6 linked regions of the Danio rerio genome follow. The protein of the gene in region 5 binds, or shares a complex with, the protein of the main gene of each other region. Links are inferred from orthologs where the notes say so. Each region holds a gene or a part of one and is shown on either strand. Other genes may lie near its edges. The genes, in order: lin9, lin54, lin52, rbl1, mybl1 and tfdp1a.

What was found.
Region 1: mybl1 (region 5) and lin9 share a complex: the UniProt entries of both Homo sapiens proteins name them as parts of the DREAM complex. The link is inferred for Danio rerio from reciprocal best matches to the Homo sapiens genes MYBL1 and LIN9.
Region 2: mybl1 (region 5) and lin54 share a complex: the UniProt entries of both Homo sapiens proteins name them as parts of the DREAM complex. The link is inferred for Danio rerio from reciprocal best matches to the Homo sapiens genes MYBL1 and LIN54.
Region 3: mybl1 (region 5) and lin52 share a complex: the UniProt entries of both Homo sapiens proteins name them as parts of the DREAM complex. The link is inferred for Danio rerio from reciprocal best matches to the Homo sapiens genes MYBL1 and LIN52.
Region 4: mybl1 (region 5) and rbl1 share a complex: the UniProt entries of both Homo sapiens proteins name them as parts of the DREAM complex. The link is inferred for Danio rerio from reciprocal best matches to the Homo sapiens genes MYBL1 and RBL1.
Region 6: mybl1 (region 5) and tfdp1a share a complex: the UniProt entries of both Homo sapiens proteins name them as parts of the DREAM complex. The link is inferred for Danio rerio from reciprocal best matches to the Homo sapiens genes MYBL1 and TFDP1.

What each region holds. Positions count from the first base shown.
Region 1 is NC_133195.1:47,003,051-47,006,550, reverse strand, and holds part of lin9 (protein lin-9 homolog), read right to left. Parts: intron 2,469-3,500; coding exon 2,364-2,468; intron 166-2,363; coding exon 35-165; intron 1-34. UniProt on the Homo sapiens protein: Acts as a tumor suppressor. Inhibits DNA synthesis. Its ability to inhibit oncogenic transformation is mediated through its association with RB1. Plays a role in the expression of genes required for the G1/S transition.
Region 2 is NC_133185.1:12,005,142-12,008,641, forward strand, and holds part of lin54 (protein lin-54 homolog), read right to left. Parts: intron 1,507-3,500; 5' UTR 1,484-1,506; coding exon 851-1,483; intron 1-850. UniProt on the Homo sapiens protein: Component of the DREAM complex, a multiprotein complex that can both act as a transcription activator or repressor depending on the context. In G0 phase, the complex binds to more than 800 promoters and is required for repression of E2F target genes.
Region 3 is NC_133192.1:33,276,441-33,280,692, forward strand, and holds the start of lin52 (protein lin-52 homolog), read right to left. Parts: upstream 2,801-4,252; 5' UTR 2,789-2,800; coding exon 2,770-2,788; intron 2,182-2,769; coding exon 2,107-2,181; intron 1,948-2,106; coding exon 1,910-1,947; intron 1,834-1,909; coding exon 1,767-1,833; intron 840-1,766; coding exon 756-839; intron 1-755.
Region 4 is NC_133181.1:54,220,306-54,224,602, forward strand, and holds the start of rbl1 (retinoblastoma-like protein 1), read right to left. Parts: upstream 2,801-4,297; 5' UTR 2,697-2,800; coding exon 2,538-2,696; intron 1-2,537. UniProt on the Homo sapiens protein: Key regulator of entry into cell division. Directly involved in heterochromatin formation by maintaining overall chromatin structure and, in particular, that of constitutive heterochromatin by stabilizing histone methylation.
Region 5 is NC_133199.1:27,718,927-27,722,426, reverse strand, and holds part of mybl1 (myb-related protein A), read right to left. Parts: intron 2,285-3,500; coding exon 2,064-2,284; intron 1,976-2,063; coding exon 1,789-1,975; intron 1-1,788. UniProt on the Homo sapiens protein: Transcription factor that specifically recognizes the sequence 5'-YAAC[GT]G-3'.
Region 6 is NC_133184.1:36,641,782-36,645,987, reverse strand, and holds the start of tfdp1a (transcription factor Dp-1a), read right to left. Parts: upstream 2,801-4,206; 5' UTR 2,713-2,800; exon of another isoform or gene 1,358-2,712; intron 1-1,357. UniProt on the Homo sapiens protein: Can stimulate E2F-dependent transcription.

The sequences.
Region 1 (3,500 bases), on a different chromosome or scaffold from region 5:
ATACAAAGCAAACATAGTGATCTGCAAAACATACCTGTCGATATTTGAATAGAACCACTCATAGATGCACCATTTGTGTGCTTTGGGTAGTTTGAGCAGGTTTCTTAGTCTCAGCCCAATTTTCTGAGAAACTCTTTTATCTGGGGTTGCGACGTTTGTAAGTTTCTACAGAGGCAAACATTCAGAATCAGAAAATGCAAATAGACTGATCTTCATGACAGCCGGTTTCAGATTAAAAAAACGATCCTGTAAAGGAGATGGAATTGTTATAATCGATGAGAAATAGACAAAAATATGGAGGAATCAATGGAAATGTTTTAAACGACAGAAATGGAGAGAGTTTAATTGGAAGAGTTTAATAAGGTATGGGTTGTTTTCACATGATGTCATTGAAGATGTGCAAAATTCAGATGGAGGGCAGAAAGTGATTCTTCTTTATAAGAATCACTATCAAGACATTAAAATGTTTATGTTTTATGTTGTTTATAATTGTTTAAATCGGCTAATATAAGAAATGCAGAACAGTTTTCATAGACTAATAAGAGTTTTTGCTTATAAATGGGAGAAAGTTACAGAAAGTGGCTGAAAAAACAGAAAAAGGCGGCATGAAGTAAACATTTTTTCAATAAATCTATCCGTACAAACTTTTTTGGACATGATAATTCACTTGAAAGTTCTAATAAAGATTATATACAGGCCTAGCTATATGTAAATATGTTAAAGTGTTATATGAAAATCATATAAAAACACCACCACACTTATACAACATTCAGGAGAATATAAATAACGTACCCTGCCATGTAATCGCTGCAATGAAATCTCCATCTTGTAATAAATAATACTAGTCTTTACTGGCGTTTTGGTGGAATAAACAACAGTAACGTTAACATCGAGATGCGGAGCAGCGGTAAATGTTTGTTGATGGTATGTTCATCAACAGAACAAAAAAGAAATGCAACCTTTGAGACAAAACTAGACGGTTATTATTGTGGAGCACTTTTCCCCCTTACAAATATAAACGACATAAATAATAATGTAGATATTATGCTTTTGTATGCTTTCATCTGTTATTTTGTGATCTCTGGAGGATATCCGCATAGGGAAAATACAGAATACTGTAGCATATTAAACTGATAAACTGTAATAAACACCATAATGTTCATGTAAATTGTGGTGTACTGTGATGGTGTGAAATTATAGGGTAAAAAAACGAAAGCCTATTGAAAAAATTTGATTATTACTACTGTTGTGTTGTACCACAGCAACAACATAATTACTACGACCGTTTAATTCAAGTTAATATAGCATGCTTCCAAACACTTCCAAATTTACTATAGTATTTTTTTCATGTAACGTAATAGCTTATACAGTATATACTGCATTGATGACAGGCAAATATATTTGAGTTCAGTAGAAAACTCTGCCCTCTTCATGATATAAGGATCCTGCCCAACATATGTGGTGGTGTATTTATATCTCCTTTGAAATATGGTATAAATCAGAAAAATACAGACTTTCCTCTTTCTCCCATTCAGTTATTTTACTTCCTTCATGCCCTCCATCTGAATTTTGCAGAACCAAGTGATTGCAAACAACCTATTATATTACACCCTCCCAGAAATCACATTATGCTGAAAATGTGTCTATATGCTGGAGGAAATGTGCAAATCAAGATGTGAATCACTATCACAGTGTCTGGGACTGCTCTGTTATTCAAAACTACAGGAAAGAAATACAAAGAGCCTTATAAAATATATTTACATCTGTGACCAGGCCTTTGATTTGATTTATTTTTTGGATGTATATATGAGAAATGGTTCAAAAGAGAAAAATATTTAATGAATATTATGCTGGTGGCTGTCAAAAAGAGTATTACCAACAAAAATGGCTGTCCATCCCTAAATTGATGGATGGAAATTACAATTAAATGTATAAAATGGGACAAATTACCAGATTTGTAAATCAGGAAAGGAAACAACTTATTTAATCCTGGAAAAAATTGAGCAATTATGCATGAAATTGTAGACCTGAACTCTTTTGTTATTAAAAATCTGATACAATGGATGACTGCCTACATGTACATGACTATTTTCTCTGGAGTTGATTGTTTTTGTAGCGGACATTAGCTTATTTTTTCTTTCTTATTTCCTTTTATTTCTATGTATAACATATGTTTACATGTGCACAGAGAAAAAAGCATATATTGCTAAAAGAGAAAGCGGATGTGCAGTAAGTGCGCTTATATTTGAGAGTATATTCAGATGTATGATCTCTAACATGTATCTGATGTAAATGTACTACTATTTAAGAAAATAAAAACATAATTATATTGAAAAAAAAAAGATCCTGGATCTCTCTCTGACCTGAGGCATAGTGGTAACCCTCTGGCTCCTCCTGGGAGATCTGGAGGCAATCGGCCGCTCCTCATCCTCACATGACAGTCGACTCCTCTTAGAGCTCCGTGTTGGCTGAAGTAAACAGCAAACGGGACTTATTTAGAAACAGTAAACATTAACACTGTTCACACTTGTAATCTGGTCCTTATGGTTTGGGCTGGGGATGTCATGTCATTCAACCGCCATGTGTAGATTAACTAAAATTGTTAACCGTAATTTGTTAGTGACATGACAGAGTGTAAATGACACTTAGATCTCAAGTATCCTCACACAAAGAAAAATTTTGTACTGTAAATAAAAAAAAAAGTCTAGTAAGATTGTGTTCCTTCAAGAATTAACACTTTAATAGAACTACTTAAATGTAATAGCATAGAAGTTAAAAGCACACAAGTATTGATATGTATCCTGCAATACTGAAAGCTGGGCCAACCAGACAAAAACGTTCTTATGGAAAATCCTAAATATAAAGCATGTAAATAATGTAGGGAGAATTATGAATGAAATTTAATATTGACAATTAACAGCGTCCTTCGGTCATTGTTTGTCAGTCAAATTTAAATTCCCCCTCCACTGTACAAAAATAGAAATGTCCAACTATTTGGACAACTCCGCACTTTGCTCATACGAGTGCTTTTTTCTTCTTTTTTCTTCTTTATTGCTCGAATTGAGGCAGCAGCTCTGAAAACGAAACTGTCCAACTGACTATTTTTATTTGCTGGACAAGAAAGGAGATTGTAAGTAGGTTTAAAAAAATGAGTAGTGAAAAAGTGATGTTAAAATAATCGCATTGTTTTCAATATTGAATAAAAATCCTTATTTGCCAGTTTTTTATTGTAGCTAAAGTTTTGGTGATTATTTGTATTTTAAACGTTAACTTGCTAGAAATTAAAAAATAATAGCAGCAAGACATTTGTTAATTATTTGCAGTTTATTACCTTAAACATCAAAACTTTATGTAAATGGACTGAATTCAATATACTTCTGCCTGCATTCATGGGATAAAAAATTCAGAGGGAAAATCTGTATTTTTGTAATGTTGAATGATAAGATCTGTGTTCTATGACAAAGTAAATGCTCTAGCACTTTGGATTTACATATACATAC
Region 2 (3,500 bases), on a different chromosome or scaffold from region 5:
TTAGTATTATTAATAATAATAATAATTACAATAATAATCATCATCATTATCATCAACAACAACATCATTATTATTAATATTATTTTTTAAAGTAGGATTTTTTCTCATTTCATAATATTAAATATTAAATTTCATTTCTTAATGGCCTCATTATGAATTTATATGATTTTTAAATGAGATGCGTATCAGGTATCAGAATACGCATTAGGTTTTGTAAGTGATTTTATGTTTTAGAATAGAATATGTAATGTTCTCAATAATATTTGTGAAGGAAACATTGGTCCTATATGTTCCATTTGCATATATTTCAATTAATATGGAAAACGAGTGCATGTTTTTACCAAAACTAATATTGCACTTATTTTAAATGCTTGTACGTGTAAAATAATATAATTTGCACAAAGAAATTATGGAGTTTTTCTCTAGAGAAGTTGTTACCACCCCGTTTAGAGCATCATTATGGACGATTTACATTATAGCTAACGTGGTTCTAACAATGGCTCTGCGACAGAGCAACTGCGTGTTTTGGGAAGCACTCGACACTGTATCGTCCTTTTCCCAAACGATGCATCGTACTATAAGAGCTCAGCCGCAAATTACGTGATTGTTTGGGAATGCACCCCTTTCAAGACCATTTTATTATTTACGTCCCTCAAAATTGTCTACAGACTCCATTGGATAAATATCCAATACAATCCATTTTAATGTTACAAATGGTACAATCACTTGTGCCTGAATACTTTAAATTCTCTAATATATTAAAAATATTAAAAAATCATAAACTCTGTGGCTATATTGTGTAGCTCTAATTAGCAATATTACAGTGTAAGTCTGGGCGGAGATTACCCACCTGCAGTGTCTTGAGGTGCTGTGCCTGCAGTGGTGTGGATGAAGCCACCAGCTGACTGGCTGAGCTCACTGCGATCACAGGCTTACCCATCGCCGTCACCATCTTGATCTGCGTGGGCTGGCTCTTGGCATCACCTGAGCCCTGGCTGGTGGCCGGCTTGTTCCAAGCGTGGGGCAGAGCCAGCATAATGGGCTGCCCTGTTTTACTGAGCCCGGCAACCAGCAGTTTCTGGCCCTCCTGCTTTATCACTGCGCCGCCCGGAGACTTTCCATCTGCCGCCACTTTATTGATGATGAGCTGGTGGTTTGGCGGGACGGAAAGGCTGGGAATTTTGGGGAGGGTCGGAGTGGCGTTTTTTGTAGTGGTGGAGGAGGATGATGATGGGGTGAGTAGGAGTTGAGTTGTGGAACTGGTGGTACTTTTAGCATTGGTGGAGATGGCCTGCATAGACGCGGTGGTTGGACAAATGCTAATGATTTCAGGCACCTCTGTTTCCATTGGTACCTGCGCCGACTCTGGGGCAGATTGGGGCGGAGGGGTAAGATGTGAAGCAGGCGGATCTTCATCCATTGCCTCTGTATCCATGATCTCATCAGGGAGGAGGCTGTTGAGCTCAGGAGACACCACATCCATTCTGCAGAGTTACCGAAAACACACTGGAGAAAAATATAGATACATATGAAACAAAGTTAGAATATATCAGTGATCAAGTATGAAAAAGTATCATGTGCACTAGACAGACAGATAACCGGTCTCAAGGTTTGCTGAGAGGTCTGTTTGAAAAGGTCAAGGTTTTAAAAACGCAGAATGTTTCTGTTATATTGTTTCCAAGTAAGGATTCAACAATTAAGCGATTTCCCTATTAACCGCGATTGAATTCGTCATGGTTAATTATTTGTAAAGGCCTCTCAACACCGTAAACAGAGTTATGCCAACTGTGCGCTAGTTTAAAGTTCCAAAATTGTAAACTGAGGCTAAAACCCACGCACACAGGATTAACTATGGCTGAGGCTCTTAATTAAGGGCCATTCAGATATCGCATCTTATGTGCACGCAAGTTTGTTATTTTCAGTGGAGGTGCGCGTCTTTTGTGCGAAAATTGGCGGGACGCAACACGCTCACGCACACTTTCCAGGCAAACCTTGTTGAAAGAATGACATGAACGCACTGTGACAACTGGAACAATCAGCTTCATACTTCGTATAGAATATGCACATTTCTATTCCAAAGAGAAAAAAATAATAATGAAAAATACAGAACAATTTTGCAACAGATTAAAAGTGCCTTTCAGACATCGGTTCAGCAGCCATTGACTACATTTGTTCTCTCTAAAAGAGAAATACCTAGCTAATATGATTTACATTAGACAAATACATTTTAATTATTCAGATTTATTTATGCATTGTTCTGTCATTTATTTTCAGTGTAAAATTATTATTTATGTTCAAATGCCAAAAACTTTTTTTCACTTATGTTTAAGTGAAAAGAAAAATGGACTATTGTTTGTTTTTTATTTTTATGCTGTATTAATTGGTTACTAAACAGCAATAAACAGCACTTTAAAATATAAGGAGTTTTCATGTAATTTACAAGTAGTATTTTAAAATTGCATAATAATCGTGATAACCTTGAAACCGTGATTATTCCTTAGACTATAATTGTGCTATTAAAATCTATAATAGTTGCATTCCTATTCCTAAGCTACTGTATGTTAAGTTTTGTCTATTTATCTTTTTAAGGAAATCAGTGTTTTGAAACTAATAAAGCTGAAGTAAATGATTTATTTGAATAATAGTCTGACATGTTTACTGTTCCAAAATATTATAAAGGTTTCCTAAAATGAAATGTATTGTGTTCAATGGGGGAAAAATAGATGTTGTTTTTCACTAAGACATTTTTTAAAGAAGTTATTTTAGAGCAGTACTAATATTTGATTACAAATACAGTAATATTAAATGTAGTTTTTAAATATATATTCCTAGTTTTTTGTTTTAAAATGCTAAAAAATAATTTATGAGATTTATTGGGCTTTTGAAAAGTAATTTATTTTTTACTCTAGAGTCATTCTCTGAAGACAAAGTTTTTTTTTCCAAAGATGAAAACTTGTGATGCATACTTTTGTTTAATGCAAACAGTTTGTCATACCCTATAAGAAAATATGGCTATTTTATATATTTGTATTTATATGTTTTCTGTATGGCCCAATACAGAAAATCTAACCCAATATCTGTTAGTTTTATTTAAAATATTATTCTATATATCTCATTATAATTATTATTTTACATTTTTTATTTGTATTTTGCCCTAAATATTGTTTTTAATGCAAAAATTTATAATAATATTTTTGATTCAGAGGAAGAAAATGTGAACTAATTTTGTTATCTGTTGATAGACTGGAACAACTGAGGTGCGACTGATTCATTATTTTTGAAACTGTAACTGACTATTATGCATCAATAAAAAAGGAGTTAAACTAAAAAATTGTATATCACTAAAAAGCCTAATTTTTAAACGTTTTAACTAAATACAGAAATATTACATGATTCACATGATTAAAAACATTATTAAAATAATTCTATTTTTACTTTAGTGTGCGCTGTGTATATTAAATACATGCATGCAGCCGTATATTTGAGTTATTGTTTCATGC
Region 3 (4,252 bases), on a different chromosome or scaffold from region 5:
AATTTTAAATCAATATAAATGCATATCTTTGAATTATTTAAATTAACTGATGCTTTTTTTATCCTCTCTCTGTAACATTATGGAAATTATTCAAAATAGTAGAGTAAAAATCAAGTAGACAGAAAAGCATTTGACTGATTTTTCTCATTGAAGCATAGTTTGTTGAGGGCTTTCTGAGGGACATGCCACACAAAGGTCAAATCAGCAGAAGGAATGTAATACATCTGAAACGAGTGTTCACCAATGGTCTGCAGTACTCGCTTTCAAATTGTGCGATGTTTCGATGCCCATTTTCATCTAGAAAATAACTGAAACACTTATCTTTCCTGTAATCCTGCCTGCGTGGATTAATGCTACATCTAGCAATTCTGTGATATAATATTACAGAGACACTGGGCAACAAGCCAGTTCTGTTTAAATATAGAGTGGGAATTCATTTGAGACTTACAGACTGAAATAAACGAATAGAACATAACAAATAAGTGTTTTTTCCACACAAGGATTCAGATGGATTTAGGCTCCAGACTACATATAATGAATTATTTGTTGTATTGTCTTTTTAACTCTATCCTAAATATCACAGCGGCAAAAAACATGAAAAATGTCTTTATGTATTAAAAGCTGGGTTTGTGTTTGTCAGTAAGTTTTATTCTTTTTCTAATATCGCCATCTAGTGGATGACTTACAATATACCGTAACTAGATAAACAGTGTGAACTAATGCACTATTTCTGAGTTGAGTAAGACATTACTTACACTCCTCCAAGCCCAACTGGTAAGCCAGATTCTGCAGACCCTTCACCTTTTCCATCAAATTTGCTGTGGTCAAACTTCCTAATTCTAAAAAAAAAAAAGCCACAACAAACAAGTTACAAAAAATAAAATAAAAATGGACCAGAACCGAAACAAAATATTATACTGTAGCTTTTATAAATTCCAGGGTTTCTGCAGGTTTCACAAAGTTAAATTTAAGACTTCAAGACATTTTCAAGACCCTTATGAATGAAATTTTAGACTCATAAAGGACTAATCGCTAAGGAATTTTTCATATGGCCCAGATGGAAAAGATTTTTCATTTGCCCCATCAAAAAACGATTATATATTAATAATACAATTATAATTTAATAATAAAAAAATAAATATTTTAGATATTTTTTATAAAAATATTCAAATATTGTTTAAAAACAAACAAGCTCTACTTGTATACATACACTTTATTTTTCCAACATAAACTTTCTTTACAATAAAAAATGAATTAATGTTTTTAAAGTTTTAATATAACTAAATCTATGCAAAACAATCTGTCCAGGTCGGTGTCCTCAGCAGCAAATACATGGAACACTTTTTAACAAATATTATGTATTTTGAGGAAAATAATAAAACTGTTATGGTAAACAGAGTTAAAAATCACCTTTTTATATAAAAGGTTTTATTGAGATGAATTGTTGGTGATCGTATAGGACTAATGGCCAGACTGCGTAGCGATACATAAACAAAGGAAAATTAAGACCTAATTTAAAAAAAATTTAATTTAACATTTAGGAACTACAACACAATATTTCAGTAAATTTAAGACATAAAAATGTAATTTTGAGGTTTAAGACATTTTACGACTTTTTAAGACCGCGCGGACACCCTGGAATTCACCAAGCAACTCATCTAACTATTATTAACCTATTCTACTAAGCAATATATAGAAAGCATAGATAAAAGACTAAATGATACATTAAAAGACTTGATATGAATACTACTTTAAAAAAGGCAGACCTTTCAACATTTCAATATCCTCTGACTCCAGTTCAGCCATCCATTTGGGTGGAGAATTTGTAATAGGCTGAAATAACAAAAACCAAGCCTTAATTTCACATCAACTTTGAAAAGTATTCATTATCATTTGAATATTTACTCACATTTTTAAAGGATGCTGCAAATTCTGACACACCCGGCACTGTTAAAAACAAAGCGTTCAAAAATATGACAATGTGTAATAATCAAATGTAATTTCTATATTTCAATCAGTGCATTTTTTTTTACATATATTTGGAAAAATATGTTAATGTGTCATAAATATTAGTCCAACTGAATAAGATTAGAGAGTCAAACTTACACTGCTCTGGCCACAGGTCAGGTGAAGCCCGGTCAAGATTTTCTAAACTTATCAGAGAAGATTCAAAGTCCTCACCTACACATTAAAAAGATAAATGCTCTATGGTCAGAGAAAACTCATCAGCAACAGGATCAATAAACCTGAAGTACAATAAAAAATGTTAAATATACACAATTTCAATTTTAACATAACTCAGCTTAGATGACGTTACAAAAAAAAATCTTCTGTCACATATTATTCAAGGTGTAAAATTAAGCTGATGTTATGACAGAGATATTATGTTTACTCAGCTGCTAAGTTACTCAAAGCTGAGCTAGCTGCATTGAGTAATCTTGTCACAAAATAATGAGTTACATAACTAACGTTAAAGATAAAATCACGACACACCAAAAGTAATATGTCTTCGCGTATTTACTACACTATTACATTCGTATTAAATTATTACTACACAACTGATGTCGTCTGACACGTAGCTTTGCTAATGACTGGCTCCAAACAATTTTATGACGCTATTCCGACTGAAAAGCTTATTTTGATTCAGAATCCATCAGTTCTTTATAAAAAATATGCTAAACCGCATAATGATTTATATGACTTAATTAGTCCGTTGCACTATTGCGTTAACAACTAACGCTGCCAGGGAAAAGAGGAATTAAAATTTACCTCCATTCGGAGACGCCATCTTGACAACAACACACGTGATTCTAAGCAGCCAATCACTGGAGGTCTTGGATAAAATAGCCACACCCTCTTATGTTGTAAAATGATGTCGCAATAATTGACTGAAAAATATGAATATAAATATTATTGACAGCACAAACCTTTTTGTTGACCAAACTCTTCTCAGTTCTATGTCAAACAAAGTGATTCTCTTTATTGTTAACAGTTCTCTGATCTCTTTAATGGTCTTTAATGGCCTTTTCTTGATATTGATCTTGGATGGTATTCGGAAAAAATACATATTTTTATCTAATAAAGCTGTTGAAGTCTCAATCAGAATCATTCATAATTGCTACCCAATAAACAACAAACTAGGTAAATTTAATAACAATATTTCCTTCAAATGCTCATTTTGTACTCAATATGGTGAAACACTAAATCTTTTTGGCCTATTTTGGGAGTGCACTTATTGTAAAGTCATTTGGGTTGACTTTTCCAATTTCACAAAAATTGTATTATTTCCAAACTTTTGTATTTCCCACAAAAAATTATATTCTTTAGATACTTTCTGAATTCTTGTAAATTTGTAATTAATTGTTTCCCCCCCCCTAAAATTTACATCGATAAATGTAAATTTTCAAAGAAACACCCTACTTTTTTATTTTAAGAAATTACTTTATATGTGAACTCTTTAAAAGACCCTAACAGTTATATTGCATGTAAAACACTTTCTTGGTGTAAATCATTTAAACTTGTTTAATTTGCTGGAATTTTAATTATGAATTCATTTCTGTCTATTTGTTTAAACTGTGTCTTTGATAACGTTCTTTCTTGCAAAATAAGTAAAAATATATATGAATAATATGCGAACATTAATATGTTTAGCTTTCATACAGAGTACTTGAGTAGTATTATGATAGTGTTAATATAATATAAGACTCAAGACTCAGTCAGGCCAAAAAACACAGCAGAACAAACTTCTGTACAGCTACAAAAAAGGCAGTAATTATAAATAGACCAAAAATAAAAATTATTGGTAAACATAAACAAGTCTAGTTTCAGCACATTTTAACGTATCATATCAATATTTTTAACAGAGTGTTCATTTTATTTATTTTAAAACACTAAAGAAACATCATTCATTCACTGTAGCATTATTACTTTGATCAACCCATTTTCAAATGCTTTGTACATAGCATTATACGAAAAGGCCCATTTAAAAGACATTAAAAAAGGGATGGTATTGTAAAACTGGTTGAAGAAATAACTATCAACACCTCTGTACAGATCATGTCTCTAAAAGACAGAAGGTCACTTTATTATACTTGGAAAAATAAAATAATTAGTAAAATTAAATAAGTAAAATTCAAGTATAAATACAGAGCTCTTACAATGTTGGTGATTAATGAAAAACATATATATTTTCAGTCAATTGAGCCAGAAAATGTGTTGGTATCAAATGCAACACAACCTAAATCCAAATAAA
Region 4 (4,297 bases), on a different chromosome or scaffold from region 5:
AAATGAAAACAAACATTATACTGTTATTATTAATATTTCAAGATGAACATTTACTGGAATAAAGTTGCGTTAGTAATTAAATTACTTTAACGTGATTTATTTTTTCGGAAAATGATATTTATATTTACTGATATTTATATGTATTTTATGCAAGTATGCTGTTATTAAAAACAATGTAAATGTAACTATATCAATAACACTAAGTGCACAGTATCAATAAACAAGTCCATATAGCAGCTGATTTTAAACAAATTACACCTATGAATAAAATGAATGTATTCAAGTTTTGAACTTCTTTGCCTCACTATATCAAACAATATTTGCAACAAAAAGAATGCATTATTTACTTTATTACTTTAATACATATAACGGAGTAGCAATAGTAGCAATTCCAGCATTATGGATGTGACATTTGTAGTAAAATCTTAAAACATAAATTCAGAGAGGAAGTATATGTTAACATTATATTGAATCATCTGGTAATACTTATCAGAACAACTGACCACAGAGTTATGGGATCAGAAAAAGATCAATATGTAAACATTTTTTTCTATTTTGAATTAGGGAAATAAATATGCGTTATGGATGTGATGAAAAAAGTCTGTGAGTTTACAGTAAACATCATGCTTTGTAGAAATTCTGTGGATTAAACTACACAACCCAAAAAAAACCAATCCAAATCAAAAAGATAAGAGTCGGCTGTCTGTAGAACAAAAAGAATTGACTTGATTGGATGTGACACCTCTCTGTTATGGATGTGACAGATGTGAAATTGCCACTTGTGTGTCTTTTGTAAATCCAATATAACTTTTTGAAAACATTGACAGAGGCATTTGAGAATTTTAAAGCAATGTAAAATACAAGCCTACACAATAAATGCAGAAACGGTTTTGCTGTTTGAGCGAATACATAACTCTTTTCATGGCAAGGTTATTTTCATGGAATTGCTCATATATATATATATATATATATATATATATATATATATATATATATATATATATATGTGTGTGTGTGTGTGTGTGTGTGTGTGTGTGTGTGTGTGTGTGTGTGTGTGTTTTGGGGCAACCTAAACGTGTTACATTGAACCCATCTAAATTTGTAAAAAGAATTAAGTTAACTTAATCGATTTGAGTTGGGACAACATGAAGGAATGTGTTCGAGATTGTTCAGATTGTGTTAAACTCAACATTTTTGCACTGTTCTGTGCTTGTAAAAAGGCACACCAATAGAATCAGATATTTTAAAATAAGTACCTTGGTAGGTTTACCATTGTATTCTTGAAAACATCATTTAAAAAAATGTTTAGTTAATATGGTAACGTTATATTATATAGTTATTACTGTGACATTCATATAACGTTATCATAGTTATTTATATGAGCAATTACATGCAAATGTCAACCTTAACATGAAAAAAAATGTGTGTTCGCCATAATAGCAAAATCATTTCTTCGTTTTTTTGTATAGGTTTCTATTTTACGGTGCTTAAAAATACTCAAAAATGTCTCAATTATATTTGATTTACCAAAGTCACACAAGTTGCAATTTTTACATCCGTCACATCCATAACAAAGAGACATCACATCAATAACAAAGCTTTTTCCTTATCATATATTTAAATCATTCTGTTTAATTCACAGAATTTCTACAAAGTATGTTGTATACTGTAAACTCGAAGACTTTTTTTGTCATATCCATCACGCATGTTTATTTTCCTCATTTCAAATAGAAAAAATGTTGACAGATTGATATTTTTTGATCCCATAACTCTGTGGTTAGCTGTTTTGGAAAATATAAACAGATGTTTCAATATAATGTTAACATATACCTTCTCTCTGAATTTATCCAGGTCTCTCTGACCTCGATACGAAATTGACAGAACAACTGCATTCTTTCCCTTTAAAGTAGAGTTCCCAACTATGTCACATGACACAAACACAAGGGGAAGTCTCAATCATATTAGAAGCGCAACAACATATGTATTGTTTCCTAATGTAACATATGACCCGGCTATTATTATAATGAATACACTCAAAAACTTACTTTTGCAGCTTGTTCAAACTACTTACTTAAAATCAGCCCAAACAACACAATTCTTAAGATGTTTTGAGACAACATAAGTGTTTTACGTAGAATCCACTTATATTTGTAAAAACAATCACGCTCTAAATCGATTTGAGTTGGGACAACATGACGGATTTGTGTTGAACCCAGCATTTTTACACTGTATTTGGGTTTATAAGTTGGCACACCAACTAAGTCGGATTTTTTAAAATATGTAACTTATTGTGGTAAGTACACCATTGCATTCTTGAATACACAGTTTACAAACATTATATAAATGTTATAACTGTATACCGACACTGAACATTCATATAACGTTAGCAGTTACTTCAGAAAATTTCGCAATAACATTAAATGGAACCTCTTATTTAGACAACATTACTGATTATTTTGATCATTTCAGAATTACAACAAAAAAGATAATCTGCTCCTGTCATTAGTTTGTCGTGTAAATGTGATCTAAAGTCAAACCTCCAGCGTGTAAGTGTTCCAGATGGATCTGAAGTTCTGAAGCGCTTCAGCTGCCGTCTCTTCGTCCATATTGAGCTCCTGACAAAGCGCCTCGAAATTACTCCGGATCGAGCCATCGGCTGATCTGACGGACTCTGTATCCGTTTCATCCCCACGCATAGCTGGAATCTGTTAAAATCCGTTAAATGTCCCAAAAAAATGTGTTCGGGTTAAACACGGAGTTTACCCGGGGCGCCGCTGACCTCCTGATGCTATCCCACAATGCCGAGATACTCGAATGGCGCGAAAACTGGCCCCTCTCGGCCAATGGGAGAATAGGGTGAGATGGCGTCATTACAACAACAAAGACGACAGAGGCAGCATGGAGGATTTAAACTTCCATACAAGAGTTTACCAAACGCGTTACATATGGTTCGTCTGACCAACATGATCCGTTTTGCGTTCATTTAGGCAGGTATGCGTGTAATATTATGAAACACCGAGAGCAAAGATAATTAGGAATGTCTTTGCAAGATTATTTTATCGTTTGTTCACTTGTTTGGTCTTATATTATTACGCGTCATGCATTATTTATCCCCGAATATGTGCTAATGTTCTATTTAGTACATTTTTGATTAGTTAACATATACACATTTTTAATTATATAATAGTATGTTTTAAGTGCAGTTATTATTCCATAGATAGAATATTTCTGCTTTGGGTCCCCCATATTGTGTCATATAGAAATTACATAAAGTATGGCACCATTTGTTATTTTATTCTAACATAAACGTAAAATGACAATATATTAATGTGTAAAACATAATTTCTATTCTATTCTTTGAACCACACTAAACGTATGATATGGTAGGCCTATTTGATATATTTGTCAATATAAATGTAATTTAGAGTAAATATAAAGCAACATTCTTATAATTTCTACTCTACTGACTTCGTTATGCGTGTGAAAGGCTCTATTTGTACCACATAATTAATCTAACCATGAATTACATTTATTAATACTGTACATTAGAATATTGTTTTACATAGAGAGCCAGTAAATCTCATTACAGCCTGATTCATCTCATAAAACACATTTTAAATGAACTGTACCGAGCTTAAAACATAATTAAATTTAACAGATTTGACCAGAGTTTCTAGCTTTTCCACTTATTGTGTCTGATACACTGACAAAAGTCGTTGCATATCCAAGTTTTAGGAACAACAAATAATAATTTGACTTCTAGTTGATCATTTGGTATCAGAAGTGGCTTGAATGAAAGGCAAAGGCCTCTAGATTACACTTATTTCACCAATATAAAATATAATCATGCCTTGATTTTTCATTAGGACAGTAAGGTCTGACTTTGCTCAGACAAAAGTCTTGTGACTTAACATAAAATAATGTACAGTATAGAATATAAAACATGCTGCAGTGGAAACAGAATGAATATTGTGTATGACTCCCATGAGCTTGGAGGACTGCATCCATACATCTCTGCAATGATTCAAATACCGCATTAATAAAGTCATCTGGAGTGGCAAAGAAAGCGTTCTTGCAGGACTCCCAGAGTTCATCAAGATTCTTTGGATTAATCTTCAATGCCTCCTCCATCTTACCCCAGACATGATCAATAATGTTAATATCTGGTGACTGGGCTGGCCAATCCTTGAGCACCTTGACCTTCTTTGCTTTCAGGAACTTTGATGTGGAGGCTGAAGTATAAGGAGGAGTGCTATTCTGCTGAAGAGTTTGCCCTCTTCTGTGGTTTGTAATGTAA
Region 5 (3,500 bases):
GCTTCCAAACTCATCTACAACTACACCAAAACGTTGATCACACTACAAACAAGTCATAACTAGAAAGCTGTAAGAAAGAGAAGATAATCATTTATTGTTTACCTGGTCTTTTGTCAATGATTAGCTCATCTCATCTGACAGGTCTTTAAATTTGAGTGGTTTGTTCTTGTTACACAGACAGTCCCATATATGCTTAACCAACGCACACAGTCTTGACGAAAGGAGTCTATCACATAATAAAAGACCGACTCAAACCGAGGACTCCAGAAATGAACAGATCAAATCTTTTTCCGGGTCTGACTACATATGATTGGCTCCTGTCTTTCATGTGATGAACGAATTACTCAAACTGAGGACTCGAGAGTTGAACTGATTAAATATTTTTCTCGCTCTGACTGCAAATGATTGGCTTCTGTCTTTCATGTGACGAATGAACAACTCAAACCCGATAGAAGGCTTGAAAAAGGAACTAATCTTCTGCTATACCTGCATAAATCTGAGCATATGCGAATGAACAAATCTCTGAGAGGACTCAACGTTCTCGAATCATTCAAGAACAACCCATCACTACTAGTGTTGTATAGGACTGAAGGGCTTTATTCTGCTAAAACAACCAACCTGGATGTACTTTTTCTTGCTCATCACATAGCTACCTGCCACAAACAAAAAAAAATAAAAAAATCACACACAAAACCTTGTTCTGAGGTGTAATAGTTTAGTAATTCTTTGTTTAAGTGCAAATCTGACAGAAACTAAAACAGCTGATAGAGTATACACTAACCAGCACACTATTCAACCACAAGATGGCAACAAACAGTCAAAACGCAAAGCTGACAGAAATTAAACCCGTTGAATAATACTAACCGTATTATTCATAAACAAGATGGTGCCAAACAGTCAAAAACCGCAATGTGACAGACAAGCAGATACAAATAAATGAAGATATGTATATGGATTTGAACTTATTTACTGACAGTCAATGTGATTCACAATTGCTGGATGAGCCTGCATTATTTAGTGGTTATCTCGAGATAACATACCTTGAAATGTTGTGACTGCCCACATAGCAAAATTTCTCTGGCCCAGCTCTGGCCCACACAATCAGGTTTTGCTTGGCCCACATGCCGCAGTGAATTACGGTACATGACTGGACCAAATCTGGCTTCCAGACAAGGGCCAAACACGGACCATATCTGGTCCAAGTCTCAGCCAAGTTAATAACTCATAACTGGGCCTGAACTGGGCCAGATAGGTTGGTGTGTCACGATTGCAATGAAATTGATAAACCCATGGAGTGATGCGCTTTAGGCACACTATGGGCATGCTTTTTCTCAAAGTGACCTGATTGGTAGAATTTTTTTTCTTTACTCAAAAATGATTTTAGTGTATTTTAAATGTGGGTCAAGACTGGCCAAACTCAAATGGCCCACTTATCACATTTTTAATCTGGGCCAAATACTACGTTTTTTATCTGGCCCAAATCTTGTGTGCCGCCTTAAAGACGGTGCCACCTCTGCCAAACCCGGTACATGTTTGGCCCACATGCTGTATGCCAGTGCCGGATGAATGCCTGCTATGCCAGCTTTATGCCAAATCTGGGCCAGAATTCTTTGCTACTAGGGTGACCAATCAGAATGGAGTATTCCAGACAGCCGTGTAATAATGCAGAATACGTAATTTATAAGTCCTAACAAACAACAAATATCTTAATAGTCACTAGTTAATAGTGAGAATGAATCCCTAAACTAATTAAAGTTGCTTTAGCGACAGATTCAAATGTGTTATCACCTGTGATTGGCCGCTCAATATTGGCTGATTCTGGTCATGTGGATATTCCACAGTCGGGCTGGATTTGGGACGTTTCTTCTGGCCTGGATCACTGTTGTAGCTCTTGTTGCCCTCTTGTAAGTAACCCTCATGCTCCACCTTCCTGCGCATGGTGGAGTTCCAATGGTTCTTAATGGAGTTGTCCGTTCTATAAGAGTGAAGTAACGTCAATCTCCAGCCTATATAAGCACACAGGCATCCTTCTATATTCAGCACAGATTTAGACTGATTTTTACCTTCCAGGCAAGAGCTTTGAGATCTCAGCCCAGCGGTTACCCAGACGTTTGTGTGCTTCATAGATAATGCGATCCTCTTCCTGGGTCCAGGAGGATTTTTTCACTTCTGGGTTGAGGTGATTGTGCCAGCGCTCTCTGCATTGTTTGCCTATGCGCCCTTGTAAGTGCTTAGCAATCACTGACCACCGTTTGGGTCCATATTTATGAACAAGCTCAATCACCTGTAGAGATGTTCAGAATAAACACTTTGTCATCTAACAATGTTTGATGCTGATATAAAACATTAAACTGAATAAAACTGGAGCGGCACGGTGACGCAATGGGTAGCATGTTCGCCTCACAGCAAGAAGGTCGCTAGTTCGAGCCTTGGCTGGGTCAGTTGGAGTTTCTGTGTGAACTGGAGTTAGCCTGTTCTCCCCTTGTTCGTGTGGGTTTCCTCCGGGTGCTCCCCGACAAGTACAAAAATGTGGTATAGGTGAATTGGGAAGGCTAAATTGTGTGTAGTGTTGTGTAGTGTTTGTGTATGATGTTTCCCAGTTATGGGTTGCAGCTAAAAGGGCATCCGCTGCGTAAAACATAAGCTGGATAAGTTGGCGGTTCATTCCGCTGTGGCGACCCCAGATTAATAAAGGGACTAAGACGAAAAGAAAATGAATGAATCAAACTAGCAAAGTTTGACATTATGTTTATAGATTATAAAATGTAGTTGTTAAATTTATAGATTTTATAAAATATTGTCTTTGCTGAAAACTACCATATAAATGACCCTTTCAACCATTTTCCAAAATATGTCAGGATCATTTAGTCTTTACCAAATAAAAACAGTTATGGCTAGTCTTTGAGCTAACATAATATTGCACAAACTATTATTTTAAAGTGAGCTAAAGTCAGTTTTGAATCTATTTATCTATCTATATATGAACTATTTTCCCAGTAATGGGTTGCAGCTGGAAGGGCATCTGCTGTGTAAAACATATGCCGCAATAGTTGGCAGTTTATTCCGCTGTAGCGACTTCTGTAATAGAGACTAAGCTGAAGGAAAATTAATGAATGAATATATCAATTATTTTAAATCATAACTATTTTGAAAAAGCATTTTTACCTTATTTAAATAAATTTGGGATGGTTTAAACTGATCATAAGTGACACTAAAACATAAAAATATATATCCAAAATTAAGCAAAAAGTGCTCAGGGGTAGCTTAAATAATGTGTCATGCTCTGGGTAAGGGATTCAGCAGAATAAAAAGCAAAAGTCAGTCCAAGGCACTCGAAAAATGTGGAAAAAATATGAAAAAGTCTTTATTAACATAGTTATTCCTCAATACTGCGCCAACGCGTTTCGGCAAACACTTGCTTTCATCAGGGTTACAGAAATCAGGTGCATTTGAAGTTTCTTTTGAATAAAGGTCTGCCTCAGACTGACTTTTGTTGTTTA
Region 6 (4,206 bases), on a different chromosome or scaffold from region 5:
TTGGGACTTGTGGAGCTGTGCATTGATGGATTTGCTCTTCAGTGTTTGGACTTTCAGTAGTAAAATTTAAACCACCCTGAACTGAACTTCAAATGTGAAATCCAGACTAACACGGTTTCAATTTACTAGAATTTCTATGTTAAGCTGCTTTGACACAATCTACAATGTAAAAGTGTTAGAGAAATAAACATTTAATACAAAAATTACATATTTTGTAAGAGAACATCCAAAACATTGCTGTGTGCTGGGCTAAACACACTTATAGTGGAAAGCCTATAAAACATGAAGGCTAAAGGAGTCAAAACTGTGACATTAAGAACTTTGATTGCAAGAAGACTCCTTTTCAAAACCTGTACTCAACCATAAGAAGCAGTATTTCTTCTAAAAATATATGTATGATAGTGCACTGTCTTTTTTGTGGTCACATATTGTGACATGTTTTAGTTTGCAAGGAAGTATATTGTGTTGCATCGCAATCATGCCAAAACCTATTTTTCCAGCAGTGATGGTCTGCTTGTTTGGTCCACAACCATGGCAGCGTTCACACTTATTCAAATGATCCAACAGAGCAACTGCACCAGAGATAATTCTAATCAAACCAAACCCACCAAGTGTCAATGAACACACCCTTACATCTTTAGCACAAGCCTAAACAATACAAGTTTACACGAATGTTTATATATTAACATCTCAATGCAGTGTTTAGCCAAGATGTTTTACTTGATGATATTATTTACATGTGGATTAAAACATCACAAGTGTATTGAGATGAGACCCAAACACTTTCAAGCACTGTGTGAATTCAAAGTTAGTTCGATTCGGTGTTTGCTAAAGAAGTCGCAATTTTTAAAATGCTGTCTAGGTAGGACGCTCACAAGGTTTGGAAACACTGTCATGGTTGATGAAAACGAGGCCCGCCAGCTCTCATGCAGCTTTTATTACCAGACAAAGACCTCGACGAATCGTATCATCTCTTTAACATCAAATCTCGAACTCCTACACCCAAACCCCTCGTGCAATATCCTGAAAAACATCCATATGCAACAGTTCCTGTCGTTTTGAGTAACTTTTCTTGCAAAAGGAAAGGGCCCTTAAATACAAAAATATCAAGTGTCTCAAGTAATAAAAAAGCGTGTAAACGCATCAAGCAGAACGATAATCTGCTTCATTCGTTTACTTTTTCCGCTCCAAACATAATGCACAATCGAAGCAGTGTGCACTATTATAAAGCGTGTTAGCCCAGTTAGCTAGCAGCCTTTCAAACACGTTTTGCAACGAACCCTGGTCCTAATTGTGATCAAAACGTGCTTCTCGTGTTTAAATGCGAGCAGATCGGGTATTGTGCATGTGCTCGTACCGTTTTGCAAACGAATCGGACTTAAATGGCCATCTGGAAATGAAGTCTGTAAACTTTCCTCTGAACTTACAGTCCTGAAGCCCTTTGCCTTCTTAGGTGCTGTTTTTGTTGGCATAGCCAGTTAGCAAGAGGACAGAGGAAGAGGAGGTCTGAAGCCCATCTCTCAAACAGGAAACAAAAATAAATCAAATAATATGAAAAATAAAAACCCATGTGCGGTGAATGAGCGTGCTTTTGAAACGAGCTTGCACTTGGGAGATGTTTGATTGTTAGATCATGGCACATTCATAAACCTCAAAATGGATGCGGATGTTTTAAGCATGCACATACAAGACGCATGCAAACTGTAAATCCCTATAAATAATTCCAAATAAAAGAACTAAAATTATCAATATATATTATATAGAGTTTAATAAAGAATAATCTTAAGCAAATATATGTATATAAACGGCCACATTATTAAGCAACACAGTTGACAGTCACAACACCTATTCAGCTGGAGGGTCACAGAATTCGTTGGCTTCAACAGCAACACAAGTTAAACAACCGATTATACTCTAAAAACGGAAAATAGCCGTTCATAATGGGACATAATTATTTGCAAACATTCATGAACTAATTGAACAAACAGGATGGTTTTGGTTTAATGCCTGGCAGCCATTTTACATGGTTGCTAAAGCAAAGCCAACATGCAGTGATGCTAGCTGAGGTGACAGGTCCTTCTGTCGTCAAAAACTACTTATTAATTGAACAAAATCCTCGTGCTTATGCGATAGTAACAATAACAACTGTTTCTTTAGTTTCAAAAGTCTTTAAAACACGCTTTAAAGCGAATTAAAATAAAACTGTTAAGCTAGCGACCAGGCGAGCTAGTAACGTCAAGCTAACTTCCACTCAAATCGAGGTCATCTCGACAGCTTTATCATAATCAATCTACGATCCCCTTACTATTGTTTATTACACGTCCAGTTTTGCCTGCCAATGCTTTTTTGTACGATCGGTAAAGATCAGGGACGATTTTCTATTGCACTACACTGACAGAAACACTTGACATGGCTTAGCATGTTGGCTAACACAAGCCATCTGAGACAGACAGTTTTAATATTTCACCTATATGATAATGAATCAGGACTGATGGTTAACAGACTAACGGCCTCAGATAGCAGATGTACAACTGCATACAGTCGCACGCTGTTGTTTTAGAACGAGTTTGCTGTCAAACGCACTTATTTTGTGTTAAATTATTACAAGCGCAGATAAAAGACAGCTTCTTTATGCACTGGTGATATATAAAAACGGAAAACATCGCTCAAAGCTGTCTGTGTGGACTCGGAGCCCCCCCTGGTCTCACTTACGGTCGGTTGCATCCGCCTTCAACTGTCTAGCGTAGAATGAATAGGAGCGCACAGTAGAACCTGCTCCCTCTCTAGGTCTGTAAAACTGAGCTTGGCGGTGTCGACGCCACGGGAAACCCGATTGGACGATGATGCTCGTGACGTCGAAAAAACGTATTACAAAAGACACGCCCGCGCTAAATTCTGATTAGACGGAGCGCTACAAAAGCTGTGTTGACATGTTCTCATTGGTTGATTATACTGGATTCCACCCACTGCGTCTGAGGGTGGAGCGTGCGTAGGTATATATGTAAATAAAGAGAATAAAAAATGGTTCATGTGTATTAAATGTCTAATATATGTTTATTAATACCACCCAATACAATAAGAACATCTGTTACCAGTGTATAAATGTCTAATTACCGCTTTCATATCACTTTCTCGGGTTATATTTTCAATTAGACCGCTTCCCCTTTGCACGGTAGTCATCCTGTTTATTTATTTAGATCTCAGTACTGTAAAAGTACTAAACATTTGAACCTAAGCTTAGATACAGACACCATATCAATTTATTACAGGTTTGTGGTGCAAAATAGTGCACTGGTATCCATTTAACTGTATTTAGGAAATGAAAAGGAAAAGGTAAACTCTTTCTTAGCTCTTTAAGTGTATTTGTTGGCTTGTTAGCCAAGTTACGATTAATAAATTGTGTTTTCATTTTAAATAATTGAGAAAAGATGTATAAAAAACAACATAAAATACGTTTAGAGGCGTTTAGTATTATGCACAAGTCAATATTTATGAAGTACAAATCATAATGTACAAATCAGCAAAATAATAAATTAGACTATTTTATTTGCTCATTATATAAAATATAAAATTGAAACTTTAAGTCATTAGGTCACATTTTGGTTTTAGGACTGTAACATGTTTATCAGTATTCATGCTGCCCCCACAGACAGGACTGTATACAGTATGTTTTATACAGATAACTAATGGAGAAGTGTTCAAAAAGGGTGTCACCATTTAGTGTCACTATCATTTTCAGGTCTCTGGGTGGGTATATTTGAAGAAGTTATTTGAATTAAATACTGTACATCAAGGGTGCCCAAACCCGGTCCTTGAGGGACGGTTTCCTCCATTTTTTAGGTGTAACCCCAATTAAACACACCTGAACTAGCTAATCAAGCTCTTTCTAGGTATACTAGAAACTTCCAGGCAGGTGGGTTAAGGAAAGTTGGAGCTAAACTATGCAGGACACCGGCCCTCCAGGACCAAGTTTGAGCACCCCTGCTGTACATTTATAAATGTCGAATTCTTACCTAAACAGAGTACATAAACACAGTTAGGTAGCAGTGGTGTAAAGTAACTAATTACAAATACTCAAATTACTGAAAATTGAGTAATTTTTCTCAGAAATTGTAATTTACCAAGAAGTTTTATAAATGTGTACTTTTACTGTCCCTTGAGTACATTTTTAGTGCAGTATCGGTACTTTTACTTCTTTGCTTCAAC